4 linked regions of the Rattus norvegicus genome follow. The protein of the gene in region 2 purifies or fractionates together with the protein of the main gene of each other region. This does not show direct contact. Links are inferred from orthologs where the notes say so. Each region holds a gene or a part of one and is shown on either strand. Other genes may lie near its edges. The genes, in order: Pals1, Amot, Lats1 and Mpp7.

Region 1 (4,181 bases), on a different chromosome or scaffold from region 2:
CCCCACACAATATTTTGTTTGGGGAGGGGTTGCCTGGCATTTGAACACAGAGTTGCATACATACTAAGGAAGAATTCTAGTGACTGAACTGTATACCTGACTCTTAGAGATGCCTTCCTACCTTAATAAGATTTTGTTTTCCTTTGAAATTGATAAATAGGCAAAACTTACATTAACATTTGATTTTAAGTGTTCAGTTTAGTGAGTTTTAAAAATAGCTTATGTAGGGCTGAAGAGAAGGCTCAGTGGGTGAAGGTGCTTGCTGGTAAGCCTTTCAAACCCAGGTTTCATTTTTGGACCCACATAGTAGAAGGAGAGAACTGAGTCCCATGAACTATCAAGTAAGAGTTTCAGTCTCTCCACACCTTCTTTCAGTGCTTAGTACAGCTAGTCGTTTTAATTTTAATGGTTTTGTTGTTGTTTTAGTTTGGTTTCTATTGCTGGTAAATACAGTGACCAAAAACAGCCTAGTGGAAGAAAAGTTATATTGGTTCTAGGACTATGAACTCAGGGCCTCACTGTTTCATGGCAGGCACTTTACCAACTGAACCATCTCCCTTTGACTAGCTGCTTCCCCTTCCCCCTCCCCGCCATCATACACACATACAGACACACGCACGCCTGTACGCAGCCTCTGATAGCACCAAAAACAGGGTCTCATGTAGCCAAGGTTGGCCTGACCTGACACAGAGACCCATGCTGGCAATAAAAGCATCTGTCATTAAGCCCAGCATGATGGACTTTTTTTAAACTTGAGTTTGAGGTTTGTCTCTGCTATAGCCTGTTTTAGAGCTTCCATTTTCTTATTTATTCATTATTTCGTGTATGTATATGTTCCTTGTTATTTATGTCAGTTAATGGACATTTGTAGGTTCTCTGCTTTGGCTATGTTAATAACATCGCCATAGATGTTTTATACTATTGTACAGATTGTATATTGTGTAGGTGATATATGTTTTAGGTTTATACCTAAGAGTGGAACTGGTAAGATTGCAGCGTTGGTGTTTGCCTGCATATGTGTATATAAGAGTGGTGGATCCCGAAGAACTAGAGTTACCTGTGGGTGCTGGGGCTTTAACCTAGGTCTTCTGGAAGAACAGCCAGTAACAGCTGAGCCACCCTACCTCTCCAGCCCCACTACTTACCATTTTCAGTAACACTGATATATAGCACATCGATTTTAATTACTATCTGTCAGTGACTGGGATGATAGTAGTATGCATTTATAACTGCAAAAAATCCTATCTGCAAGACTGAATGTTAGGCTGAGTTAACCTTTCTTCTCACTTCTCCGTGGAAGACTGCAGATTTTTATACTTGGTTAGTTGCATGCTTTTACACTCAGTTAATTATTTCCTTTTCAGTTTTGCAGAATAAGAAAGCTAACCTGAATATTGGGGGGAAAGACAGAGAAGAGAAACAAGGATTGAAGACGAGGTTTTCCAGTTTGCATAATGTAAGTTCTTTTCGCTATTCTTGGCCTGAGTTCTGTATTAGCTGACAAAGCTGTTTCTATGGTAACATAGTCCAGCCTCTTAAAATGTCAGATGAATGCTGATCACTTAAAATGAGACTTTCCAGCTGCTGGTCAAAGGGCTTTACATGCCAGAAAAGAGAAGCGAAGATGAACAGGGTGGGGGGAGACAGGGTTAGACTCTACTTAGGGAGTGAACATATTCATGCATATGAAGTCTGTCTTTCCTGCCTCCCTCTGCCTAAAACTTAAGGTTATATAAGAAACAATTTTTCCCACTAAACTGCTTTGTTTTAGCTTTATACAAATGGTCGTTTTTGGGTATTGAGGTTTGCATTCGGCCATCTGTATCATTTGGTCATTGTAATTTCCATTTATCTGCAACAGTTCTACTTCTGTATGGATGGTTGTCCTTCAAAAATGCATCACAAATAACTATATCCTTATAACTTCCTTGTTTCTTATCACTCTGTTTTAGATGTCTGTATCCTCTTTGAACTTAAAATAGTCTTAGTTTAGTTGAACAGATATTTCTTGGACATTTTCTCTAGCACACATTTTACGCTAAGTACTAGACATGTAAAAATAAGACATATAAGGAAAATGTTTTCTAATGTATTAGAATCTGATGAGGAAAATAGTCGTTTAATTTCTTTTTCTGTCTCTCACTAAACTAAAACTTAGGAGAGAGAACTAAAATAGAATGTTAAGTTGATAATACTAGTTGCAGAAATCTACTGAGAATAAAAGACTAGATCCATGTAGACAAGTGTGATAATAGTCTAACCATGAGAATTCTGATGTAGATAATTATGTATAGCTTTCTTCTATGATTTGGCATAGTGAATAGATGTACTTTTTAAAATCCACTAATAATAAATGAAAAAAGTAAGAGTTCATTTTTGAAAATGTATAAACTCCTAGGTTTTTAAAATTAGCCATAGCAGTATAGTAACTCCTACATAAATTTATTCACTTATAATGAAAACATTAAATAAACTGTATCCAGTTTAATTTATACTTTTTATAATTATTATAATGTATAAAAGCTTAAGGATCACCTACTATAAATTTCATAGCTCTCATTTTAATGGGAAAGAAGACAATCTAATGGTATTGAGGTCATTATATGTAAAAGACTTTAAGTTTAGGTGGAGGATAATCTGTCTGTAAAAATATAATTTTAGTCATTGGTGTAATTCATATCTATTTTCCTGACTGTCGGCCTTGGTGCTTCTTCTAGAGCCTATGTAGGTGTTCACTGTATTACCTAGTTTGTCTTTTCTCCCTATTGCATTGTAAGGACATATGCAAGAAGGTTGACTAGTATTAGGAATACTGCCTGAAAACTTGGATTTTACTGAGTCAGCACTGTACTCTAAGCATACTTGCCGAAATGATGCTCAGCTCAGGGAGGCAGTAAGCTCATTAGTGTAAATATTTTTAAAGCCTGGGCAGAAGAAGCTAATTAAATTTAATGTGTGGGTTTGCACACATAAACAGCCTGCATATTTATGCCTAAGTGGGTTGATGAAAAGCTAGTACCATTGAATAAAATACGTTTTTATTTTAATTTTTGTTGGAGGACTCTTAATATAGAATCAAGTTAATATTAATAGTACTTATCTATATTTTATAACTTGCATACATTATGTTTTTTAAAACTAAGAGAAGTTCTGTGAAGTTAATCTTCTAAGTTACTCAGGTTGAGAGAAAAGCTGGCTGTCTTAAACAACAGGCTAGGAAACATGGTAGAGGGAAATGAAAGTCCAGTCTTCCTGTCTGTGTGCTCCTTCTGCTACACGTGCTATACCATTCCCTCTGAATGACTCCTTATGAGGTTCAGCTTCACTTTCTTCATGTATCGCCAGTTATAAGACTGATATTCTGTGTAGTCTTTTTCTCATCTATGTAGTTTTGTCCTTGGATACCTTTGCTGATAAACCTTATTGTTCTTTGGGCATCTTTTTCATTGCAAAAGCCACTTTAAAAAAAATAGTTTTACCCAGAAATACTTTTCTGTGTTTCAAGTTAGCCACTAAGATGGCTTGTGCTATGTACTAAATTATAATCAGCTGTTCTCACAGGTACTAACTCTGTGTTTTAATTAAGCATAAAGTTGAGATATTTAAAGTTGCTGTTGAAATGTCTATCCACAAAGCACCTATTCTCTACAAAACTTATAGCAAACCAATTCACTTTTCTCACTTTGCTAAACTTTTCAGTGTATCAGTTTTCTTAGCTGCAAGATCAAACAGTACGCTTCATAGTTTTGAGAGGCAACTTTAAAAAAAAATAGTCAATGTCCTCAACATTGGAGTCTGTATTAATAACTATATCAAGTACCTGATATTCTCTATATTGTGTAGAAATTGGAAATGGGCTATATAAAGTTTGTTTTTATATTACAATTCTTACACTTTTCCCTCCATCTTTCCCTCTTAGATTTGCCTCATGGATACATTTCATAGCATTATTATGTGATATGAGAAGTTATTTTTCTTTTTTGAAGTAACATGGATTTTATACTACAGAATCAAGAGAATTGGCTTTATAGGAAATTTTGATATATAAAAAGTGATAGAGGTTTTTATAGATAACCATGACAACATCGTATATGAATGGGCATGTGACAGAGGAATCAGACAGCGGAATAAAAAATCTTGGTCTTGCATCACCAGAGGAACATCCGAAACACAGAGAGATG
Region 2 (3,568 bases):
TGAGACCAGCTACATCAGTAGAGTAGGGCAAGCTGTTTATTCAGAAATGATGAACTTGATTGTGTAGCCTGCCGACCTCCTACCTCTTTACCCCTGCCAGTCTGTTACCTAAGGTTTGATGTGATGGCCTTAATAATGAACATTCTTGCTAACTGTGGAGTTCCAGGTAGGGTTGCTTTTTCCTGGATTTTATAATTGTTTTCCATTTGTATTCCATTCTGAGGTATTCCTTGTAGCAATAATTCTATAATACAGATAATCTGTCAACAAAATATCTGGGGATTATGGCACCCAGTGTCTTTTATAGACTCAGTGTCATTTATTACTACCTGGAAGTCATGCCTTACTAGTAGAAGACTCTTATCTTCTCACTGAACTTACTGTTATTATGGACATACTCCTTTACTAGAGAATGACTTCTTTCATACATGGCCTTTCTATTTGCCAATATTTGACTTTGATCTTCTAGGGTGTCCACAGAAATTTTTAGATGCTCTCTTATGTCTACTTGGCAGTCCAGAGGATGTGCTATTTTATTTTCCTTTAAGCCTTAACACACTGACCCTTGCCTCCAACTAAGAATTCACTACACCAGCCCTTAATAGAAAGGATAATAGGAATACAAATCCATGTAGGCGGTGAGATTAGAATGGAGAAGTAGTAACCAAGTCTCTGTGTGTGCTTTTTCTTTGTCTCCTAGGATTAAGACCCTCCATGCGCAGATTATTGAAAAGGATGCCATGATCAAGGTGCTGCAGCAGCGCTCCAGAAAGGAGCCTAGTAAGACAGAGCAACTGTCATCCATGCGGCCAGCGAAGTCTCTGATGTCCATTTCCAATGCTGGATCAGGCCTGCTTGTACACTCATCTACATTGACTGGTGTGCCCATCATGGAGGAGAAGCGAGACGACAAGAGCTGGAAGGGGAGCCTAGGTAAGAAAAATGATAGGAACAGAAGCAAGGGTACAGTGACATACCTAGAAAGTATCATGGCTCTGTTCCACGCAGCAAGGAAAAGGACAATGGTCCAGCTTCTAGAGAGGAGAGTTTGGGGTTATTTTTTTCTCCTCATGGAACTAGATGCATAAGGAGGACTCTGAAGTCTCATGGTGAGAACAGTAACTGAAAGACTGAAAATATGAGAATCCTGTGTTCTTTAGGGTTGGGAAAGAACCGAACTTGACTTTTATGTAAAAAAAAAAAAATTCTTGTATTTGGCTTTTGCCACATGGGAACTTTGTTCAAAACTCAAATGGACTTTATCTCAGGCAAAATTCAAAATTACAGCATCGCTATGTTCCTTCCTCTCCTATGGAAAGAGGACCCAAAATTCTCTTAAGGCTAATGAAGTCACGTGTCAGCTTTTCTTACCAGAATGTTCAGATAAGAGAACAGAATGTACTTCTTCGTTCAATTCCTGTCCATTTTATCCCCTCTAATTAAAGCCTCGGAGTACCTTACATACTGAGACACATTTTTGATCCAAAGGAAGCAAACAAATGATATATTTCAAATCTTTTGGTGTTTTTAACTCCTTTCTTGATCCAATGAATGCAGTATCCTTTAGTCAGAGTTCTTTGAGCCCTGGTCATGTTTGGAACCGTACGTTACACAACTCAAAACACCCTTATTGGTATCCACAGACTCCCCATGCCACTGAGTTATTTTCATCTCTCTGGTGAATGTGGGGTATTATGACTGGTACAAAAAAAAGACCTCTGACAAGTTGGTCTTCCGAAATCACTAATGAAAAAGAAGTGTAACTGATACCCAGGACACTTAGAGGTTTAATGTTATGTTGTTAATTGAATAATAAAGACAAGAAGGGATCTAAGTCCAAAAGCAACTCTTAGCTGGGATGTAAGAGAGAGAGGATCCCAGAGGTTCACTAGAGGCAAAACCAATCACGTTTGGAAGAAAACTATCAAATATTTTCTTTTCCTCAATTCCCGAAAAGGGCAAATAGTTAATCAGTATCTAGAGAAAAATCACCTCCCATCCTCTTGTTCCTTGCTTCACCCTTAGGCATTCTTTTGGGTGGAGACTACCGTGCTGAGCCTGTGCCATCCACACCTTCCCCTGTGCCTCCATCTACTCCTCTACTCTCAGCTCATTCGAAGACTGGCAGTCGCGACTGTAGCACCCAAACTGAGCGCGGATCAGAGTCCACCAAAACTGCAGCTGTCACTCCCATCTCGGTTCCAATGGCTGGTCCAGTTGCTGCTGCTGCTCCTGCTGCTGCCATCAATGCAACTGCTGCCACCAACACTGCCACTGCTGCCACCAACACCACTATCATGGTAGCTGCTGCTCCAGTTGCTGTTGCTGCTGCTGCTGCTCCAGCTGCTGCTACTGCCACCCCATCTCCAGCAAATGCTGCTGCTCTTGCTGCTGCTGCTGCTGCTGCTGTCACTCCAGCTACTCCTGTCTCTGCAGCTACCTCTGTCTCTGCAGCTACTTCGATCTCTCAGGCTGCTCCTGTCTCTCCAGCTGCTCCTGTCTCTCCAGCTGCTCCTGTCTCTCCAGCTGCTGCTGGTCAGATTGCAGTTGCTGCATCTCTTACTTCTGCTACCGTTTCTCCAACTCCTGCTGCTGCTACTGCTGCTGGTGCAGCTGCTGGTGCTGGTGCTGGTGCTGGTGCTGGTGCTGCCGCTGGTGCTGCTGTTGCCACTGTTGCTGCTGCTGCCACCACTACTGCTATTCAGGTTGCTCCAGCTACTTCGGCTCCGGTTCCATCTCCAGCTTCGATTCCGGCTCCAGCAACGGCTCAGGCTTCTGCTCCGACTCCGACTCAGGCATCAACTCCAGCTCCGATTGAACCTCCTACTGCAGTTCCGACTCCAACTCCAGCTTTGGTTCAAGCTGAGGGTCCTGCAAGTCCAGGTGCCAGTTCCGGACCACGCCGTCTGTCTACACCAAATCTGATGTGCAATCCAGATAAGCCAGGTAGTCACAATTTTCTTTAGCAGGCATCTTCTGGTGGTGTTCTCGGGTGTACATCTATCAGCTGATGCCCGCCATTTTGACAGAGTTGAACACTGCATGATCCAAAGGGTCAGAGGAAAGAAAAGATGTTCTGGAAATGCCTTCTGTCACTCGCTAAAATGGGAATGGTCAAGAGCAGAGGCCATTTTTCAGTAAGGAAAAGGATAGGCATGTCTGTAGTGGCAAGTTCCATTTAGAAATGAGTTTTGTAATGGTTCTTAACATGGTTTGCTGAAAGTTAATCTTTCCTTTCTGCCTAAGTCTTTTCTAACCCTTCGTTTCCATTCAGATGGTCCTGCTTTCCACTCCAGCACTCTGGAAAGGAAGACACCCATTCAGATCCTGGGGCAAGAGCCTGATGCAGAGATGGTGGAATATCTCATCTAAAGGCCACATCAAGCGCTGGAGTTATCAGCAAGAGTTCTTTTTAATAATGTTTCCCTTTCATTTGTTTAATCTGGGGTGAAGATGGGGTTGGGAGGTGGGGATGATTTTTCTAAAGGGACTTTTTATTGGACTCTGGTAGTACATAAGTAATGCCATAGAAATGAATTCCAATCTATTTTGGAATCCTTAGGGAGTA
Region 3 (3,568 bases), on a different chromosome or scaffold from region 2:
TACCACAAAGGCACCCGTATGTGGCAGGGGCTGGGCCTGAACCCAGGGCTCTGTGTGTGTTAGGCAAGTGCTCTCCCTCTGAGCCACACCCCCAGCCCCTGGAAAATGTACTTTCTTAGTGAGTACATACACAAAAATTCTAATAACAATTTTACAAACTGAAAATAATTTCTTTGCTTAGGGGATGGAGATTTTTCTTCAAATTTTAAGATACAAATATTACAGACCTTAGTTTTTCAGTTTGAAAATTCAATTTATGGCAACTTTGTTCCCTTTTAAAACTGGAAACAGTTGGGTGGTGGGTGGTGGGTGGTGGCACACACCTTAAATCCCAGCAAATGGGAGGTAGAGGCAGGTGGATCTCTATGAGTTTGAGGCTGGCCTGGTCGCAAAGCGAGTTCCAGGATAGCCAGAGCTACAAAGAGAAACCCTGTCTCAAAACCAAAAACCAAAACCAAAACAAACCAAAAACAAAAACTCAAAAAATAAAACAAAAACTCAAAAGCAGCATTAAAACCAATAAAGAAACAAAACTAGTAGTGCTCTGGCTTCTTTTAAAGCCGGTATTTGAAAGAAAAATGCTAGGTTAAAGATTTCTGAGGAGGGAAGGGGCAGACTGCATTATTTCTAGTGAACATGCTGTTTTTGCTCTGTATTTGTGATTCCAGGACACGACTTCCAGATTAGAATTACTCTAGGAACAGCTTCTAAAATGATGGCTTGATTTCTTTAGCTCAGTGTGAACTAAAACCAAAGTTACAAGGGAAATACGGATATGTTTCATATTTGGTTAAAGCAAGATAAAACTGTCTTTCAAAAATCTTCAAAAACTCTTGAACATATATACAAAACATACCAGGCTTCTCTTTTTAAACAGAGCACTATTTTTTAAGTACTTTAAGTACCAAGAACTGACTACAATACTCAGTTCATAATTTACTTTCCTTATAACAATTTATTCTAAATTACTGAATTAAAAGGGTGGAATAAATTAACATTTTAAAACAATTTCCCATAACTTAGGAAAATAAAATATTGTACACAGAGCACACAAACTCTGTCACATTTGCATAATCTTCTCAAAACCTCAAAAACCCCTGCATTTCAGGCCTTTCTGCAAATTTTTACAATTATCTCCCAGTTTATTAAACATACACTAGATCACGGTTGTTTACATCTGAGCCTGTGTGTTGATCGTCTTCATCGGACTGCTGCTCTGAGCCCTGGGAACTAACGTATTCATATTCGATGGGCTTTGGATAATTATATGGGTAGCCATTGTCATCAAAGAACCTCCGAAAGGTAAACTCATAGAAAGCATGCTCAGGGTGCTTTCCGTTTTTATACCATCCGTTCAGAGTGTCGTTGATATTTTCTTCCTCGTTACCATCGCTCCACAACTTATCAGGGTCAACAGGGTCAAAATTGGACGTGTCTGTTGGGTGCGTGATTTTGGGGATGTATGAAGCAGACTGCTGTCTCAGATCACTAGAGAAATCAATGGTCTTAAAAAATGGATGAGCCTTTATTTCATCAGCACCGTTCTTGCCTAGACGGTCTTCTGGTCCTCGGCAAAGTTTGATAATGAGGTCAGAGGCTTCAGGACTGAGCTTGGCTTGAGGTGGGATGTGAAGAGAAGTTTGCCAGTTGATAACCTTGAAAGAAGAGTTTTAAAAATTAGGACGAGATGAAACACAACAATTTCCTAAGTTTTGTACCAAATGTCTTACTGGACTGCTTGGTTTTCTAAGTAATTTGCATGGTACTTTATCTTTAATAATAAATCACTGCTAAAAAAACACACCTTCTTGTATCCTCTCCTCGTAAGGAGACTCATAATAAGGTTGTCTGCTTTGCTTTGTCTGATATTTTTTGGTTTGTGTTTTGAGACAGGGTTTTTGTGTGTGTAGCCCTGGCTGTCTGGGACTAGCTCTGTAGACCAGACTGGCCGCTAACTCAGAGATCCGCCTGCCTCTGCCTCCCTAGTGTTGGGATTAAAGGCCTGGGCCACTGCTGCCCAGACATCTGTTTGGGTTTTGAGACAGGATCTAGTAGCCTTGGCTGTTCTGCAACTTGCTAATAAGTAAATCAGGCTGTCCTGGTACTCACAGATCTTCCTCTGTCTACCAAGTCCTGGAATTAAAGGTGTGTACAGCTATGCTAGGCTTAAACAGGTTGAACATTCCCAATCCAAAAACTCCAAAATCTGAAACATTTTAAAACATAAAAATTCGGGGGCTGCAGAGATGGCTCAGCAGTTAAGAGCTCTGGCTGTTCTTCCAAAGGTCCTGGGTTCAATTCCCAGCAACCACATGGTGGCTCACAACCATCTGTAATGGGATCCAATGTCCTCTTCTCGTGTTTCTGAAGATGGCTACACTGTACTCATATACATTAAATAAATAAAGAACATAAAAATTCTTAATGTTGATATGATATCATAAGTAGAGAACTCTATACCTGAGCTATGTGGATTGCACTCAAAAAGGAACTGGGGTACAACTCAATGGCAGAGCACACTAGTTTAGCATATCCAAGGTCCTGGGCTTGAATTCAACCACTCCAAAAAAACAAAACCATATAGAAATAAAAGTACACTAAAACTGTAATATAAAAATATCATCGTATTTGACATATCAAATGAACTTCATGTTTAAACATGGGACCTATCCCTAAGAAATCTGTGGGTCTATGTAAACATTTAAAAATCTAAAGCCAAAGGCAGATCTCTATGAGTTTGAAGCCAACTGATCTATATGGTGAATTCCAAGTCACGCAGAGCAACACACTTGAGAGACCCTGTCTGAAAACGAAACAATATCTGAAAGAATGTGAAATACTTCTGTCTCAATGATTCAGGAAAGATACATAAGTACACAGCACATTTAAAGATTCATGGTAGAAGGCTGAGGATTTTTCATGCAGGTCCTATACCTTACCTTCATTTGGGTTTCTAATGGTGTTTGTGCCAAGAAAGGAGGTTGTCCCACCAACATTTCAAAAAGAATAACACCAACACTCCACCAATCACACAGCTGTGTATATCCTAAAAGTACCAAAATTATTCGGTTATTCACAAGAATGCTTTTAAAAAATGTTCAGAATACAAACATTAGCATTAAGTCAACAATTTATAATGTATAATCAAGACTTTTATCTTTAACCTGAAAGGAACAGGTATATTCTAGAGTAAGATTGGCTGATTTAAAATACTACTGAAATACTTGTGAAAAAGTAGATGCTTCACCTGTCCGTAGTAGCACTTCAGGTGCTATATAGTTGGGAGTCCCAACCAGAGAGTGAGCTAGACATCGCTGGTGCTGGCGAGCAGCTCTCCGCTCTAGTGGCTTCAGTCTGTCCCCACACCGACAGTTGGAAGGATCTCCCCATTCGCTACTGAAATCCATGCTATCTTGCCGTGGGTGATCCCCTGTGCAAGAAAAAGAAAAAATCAAATGTAGCAGTAAGGACAACAGTAACGTCAAGTCTGTTTAACCTCTGGTCACGATGCAGGGCTAGTAATATTCTCCTGTGATGGGTAGGTGTGTGAAGGACACCACATCCCTGG
Region 4 (3,669 bases), on a different chromosome or scaffold from region 2:
TGGTGCATGCATGATGATTTTTTTTCTCAGCCAATCATTTATATTATTTAACCTTTTTTAAAGCTAAATGTTTCTAAATAAGTTTCTGTTTATTTCTTAATAGTCTAAACAAAAACTGTAATAATTTGCTTTGTTGCCTTATATTTTACATTTTAACACAGTAAAAAGTAGAAGTGTTGCAGTAAAAATTTAAAAAGAAACTTTTTCTAACAGTTCCCACGCTCTGGCTGCTACTCTGCCACATGGTCCCCAGGCTGTCCACTCCCGGCTGTCTCCCTTTTAGCCCCCTCTCTTCAAGGTCCCCTAGGCGGTAGTTACCACACCTGACACACACACATATCTCGTTCTGCAGGCCCTGTGATTTCTCACTCCACCAGGGCTACAGAACCAGATCCGCACGCTCCAGCCGACTCTCTGCCGTTACTTTCACATGCTGTCCTCTTTGGCATGGTTAAAATCAAAGTTCCAGAAACTTTTAATTTAACATTTAGATTTATATGTTAAATTCTCCATCCTCAATACATCCACAGAATAAATTCACTGCCAATTACTAAAGATAGAAACTGCCCACCTAGACAAGATAGAATTGACCCAGACCACCTGGATCGGAATCATCTTCCTCCGTCGTCTCTGTTAGCCAATTCATGGCTCTAAGTTTATTGTTAGCGTGCTTTCAAGGTAATTATTAAGACAATTAATGGACAACAGTCCAAATTACCTTATATAGATAGATGGTTTTCAAAACAGAAATTCACAAAATATGACATTTAAAGTTATTTATTTTTTGTTGAGACATATCTGCTCCTAACACGTCCCCTGTGGTGGATTTAACGAAGAATTTGGGCATCTCTACCTCCAGGTGAGGTAATACCTTGTGACAGCATAGCCACTGGGCAAGAATCGCCTCAACTCATCTACAGACTCAATGCTGTCTGAGAAGGACACGTTACAGAATAAGTTGACTGATAATTTCTACCAAACCAGAGTGGTCAGCCCTTCAAAATTCTGTGTTTCAGAAGTCTGTCAGATGATCCTAGGCCAGAAGGCTGAAGACTTGCTCTCATGTGTTGCTAACGGGACTGTGCTAGTGGAAATTAGTCTCTACAACCTGTCTCAGTTCGGAAGCCATGTTAGGCTTCCTATGTTTATAGATATTGGGTCGTTCTCAGATTTCTGATGGGGTTAAGACTAATTATAGTCTCATAGCCTACTCAGGCTGTTTAACTTTGAAATTGGATGTATTGTAGATTGAGAATTTAACATATAAATCTAATTGTTAAACAACAAGTTTTTAGAACTTTGATTTACCAGACTATGGGGGATGTGAACCAAGTTTCTGGTGGGCAGAGAGACAACCTGTCTCAGTTCTGGAAGCCGTGCTAGGCTATAGAATGCCTGAGGCTAGCATGGCGTGGTGCCGTGATAGAATGGCACGCAGAACACGATGTATGTTGGTAACAACCCACCAAGGGGACAGTGTATGAAAGCGACTGACAGAGAAACAGCCAGAGTGTGTGGCTTCTGAGGATCCACACCAAGTGAGAGTGCATGGGAACTGGTTCTGCTGCTTATTTAATTACACCACAACATAGAAGCACCATTTGGGTCATAGGATCAGGAGGCCTACTCTGTCTCCTGATGACATTCATATTTCTTACAAATGCCATTAGATGCTATGGCTTCAGATCTTTGTGACTGTTCTGATATTAATCTCACTGAATGAAAATGAAGATCATTATTCAAATTTTTGCTAAAATTATTCAAGGTTTATTTTCTATCAGATAAGGATGTCTCCCAGTAGCAGGGTTTGAGAAAATAACATGAAACACAGGAGAAGGTAGGGTTTATATAGCTAAAAAATACCTACAAGACTAGGGGATTTTCAGTGGTTGGGGGCTTTCCAGAGGAATTCTGGTTACATAAGAACTTGGCTGAACATTCTAAAATTATTTGGAACGTCTTATCTTACCAGGGTGTGGAACATGACAAATTCCAGAAAATGGGTGAAGACCTAGTCAAATTTATATTTTATAGAAAACAGGAATGAACTTATTTTGACCTTGTAATAAGATGGCTTCTAATTTTTAAGAGTCAGGCTGGCCCATCATTGACTCTTGGCAAACCTTTCATTGTTTTTGTTTTCATTTTTCTCAAATTTTACCTTTGAGTAAAAAAATCCAACAAATAAATATTAACCCCCATTTTTCTTTCATCTAATTAATTTTAGTTTAGACTTTGTTAATCTGTGAACTGTTGATTTTAGTTATAAAGCATGGGTCTTGCTTTTGACCAATTCCTGCGCTTTGTTCTAAAAGGATGACATTTGTCCTTAAGAGACAGATGCTGTCACATGTTACTAGTTATTTTAAGTTGTTGACTAGCACTAAAGTTATCTCTCAATAAACATAATTTGTAAATGATGGCATAGTCTGAGGATGTGGCTTATGCTTTTTAATGTACAATCCTGACTTTTATACCTAGCTAAAATAGCACCTGGCATTTTAAAATCTATGTGGCCCCTCAGGGCTTTTGAAACACTTTTACCGGACCACAGAAGGGGCATTTGAACTATTATCTTGTAATGCTTTCAACATTAAGAAAGTAGTTTGTATTATGCATTATTTCTTGTGAACAAACATAAATAGTGCCAAGCCAGAGCAATAAGAGTCAACAGCACCCTTGATATCTATGACAATAGCAATGTGTCCGTGTAATGGTGAGTTAGGTATGACCCTGAGGGGAGTTTAATTAAAGTTGGTGTTAGCAGTTAAAACCTCTAAAAAAGTAGTGAAGGTGATTTTGGTTTTTTACTTCATTTAAAGTCTGAACACATAACAGCTTTAGGTAAAGTCACTATAGAATGTTTTCATTTATGTGATGCAGTTGCCTGGTTACTTAATTTGTCATTATTTGTTTTTAATAGGAAGAAGACTTTCAAGAAATGATCAAATCAGCACAGATAATGGAAAGTCAATATGGCCATCTTTTTGACAAAATCATAATAAACGATGATCTTACTGTAGCATTTAATGAGCTAAAAACAACATTTGACAAACTAGAGACTGATGCCCATTGGGTCCCAGTGAGCTGGTTACATTCTTAACTCAGGGGAAATGTCCTTAACTGTCTTTTTGCAGAGTTGCATGGTTAGGTTAACTACCATGTTTTTGGTAGGATTTTTTTTTTAATAATCTGTATCACTGTCATAGATGTAAAGTCTTCAATGTCAAAGTCAAAATTCCAGTGCTGGTTTTGTTTATGTCTTTCACAGCCTTATTTGAAGCACACGACTATACAATCTAAGTCAAAATCTGCACAGTGCTATAGTTTTAGCAAAACTTTTGTATTTCCTTGTTTTCTTTAATCTATTTCTGTCTCTGACGTGAGAGGCAGTGTGTATCAGAGTTCATGCCTCACCTGCGCTCAGGTGTACTCACAGCCCTTCACTGTGCATGCTCTTGGTTGAAAGCATGGGGTTGGCAGCCTTGAGCAGATCCACAGATTTAACTAGGCTGGAAATAAGGATCTGTCCTTTCAAAATATGCCCTAAGTATGCACATCTTAAAACAAAGAAGAAATTCAAATCTTTTCTTGAGGAAGTAGCTCACATATTATAGCTTAGGAAATCCTTAGGAATATATATCGGTGATGCCGCCAATATTATATAAG

The links.
Region 1: the proteins of Amot (region 2) and Pals1 purify together in Homo sapiens (affinity purification with mass spectrometry; 6 studies listed by BioGRID and IntAct, counting the BioPlex papers as one, with this or other methods). This does not show direct contact. The link is inferred for Rattus norvegicus from reciprocal best matches to the Homo sapiens genes AMOT and PALS1.
Region 3: the proteins of Amot (region 2) and Lats1 purify together in Homo sapiens (affinity purification with western blotting; 3 studies listed by BioGRID and IntAct, with this or other methods). This does not show direct contact. The link is inferred for Rattus norvegicus from reciprocal best matches to the Homo sapiens genes AMOT and LATS1.
Region 4: the proteins of Amot (region 2) and Mpp7 purify together in Homo sapiens (affinity purification with mass spectrometry; 3 studies listed by BioGRID and IntAct, with this or other methods). This does not show direct contact. The link is inferred for Rattus norvegicus from reciprocal best matches to the Homo sapiens genes AMOT and MPP7.

The regions. Positions count from the first base shown.
Region 1 is NC_086024.1:103,326,603-103,330,783, forward strand, and holds the start of Pals1 (protein PALS1), read left to right. Parts: upstream 1-1,362; 5' UTR 1,363-1,456; intron 1,457-3,919; 5' UTR 3,920-4,076; coding exon 4,077-4,181. UniProt on the Homo sapiens protein: Plays a role in tight junction biogenesis and in the establishment of cell polarity in epithelial cells.
Region 2 is NC_086039.1:113,782,331-113,785,898, reverse strand, and holds part of Amot (angiomotin), read left to right. Parts: intron 1-700; coding exon 701-933; intron 934-2,025; coding exon 2,026-2,946; intron 2,947-3,274; coding exon 3,275-3,372; 3' UTR 3,373-3,568.
Region 3 is NC_086019.1:4,008,267-4,011,834, reverse strand, and holds part of Lats1 (serine/threonine-protein kinase LATS1), read right to left. Parts: intron 3,431-3,568; coding exon 3,248-3,430; intron 3,047-3,247; coding exon 2,940-3,046; intron 1,656-2,939; coding exon 1,146-1,655; 3' UTR 1-1,145. UniProt on the Homo sapiens protein: Negative regulator of YAP1 in the Hippo signaling pathway that plays a pivotal role in organ size control and tumor suppression by restricting proliferation and promoting apoptosis.
Region 4 is NC_086035.1:60,137,183-60,140,851, reverse strand, and holds the end of Mpp7 (MAGUK p55 subfamily member 7), read left to right. Parts: intron 1-2,923; coding exon 2,924-3,103; 3' UTR 3,104-3,151; downstream 3,152-3,669. UniProt on the Homo sapiens protein: Acts as an important adapter that promotes epithelial cell polarity and tight junction formation via its interaction with DLG1. Involved in the assembly of protein complexes at sites of cell-cell contact.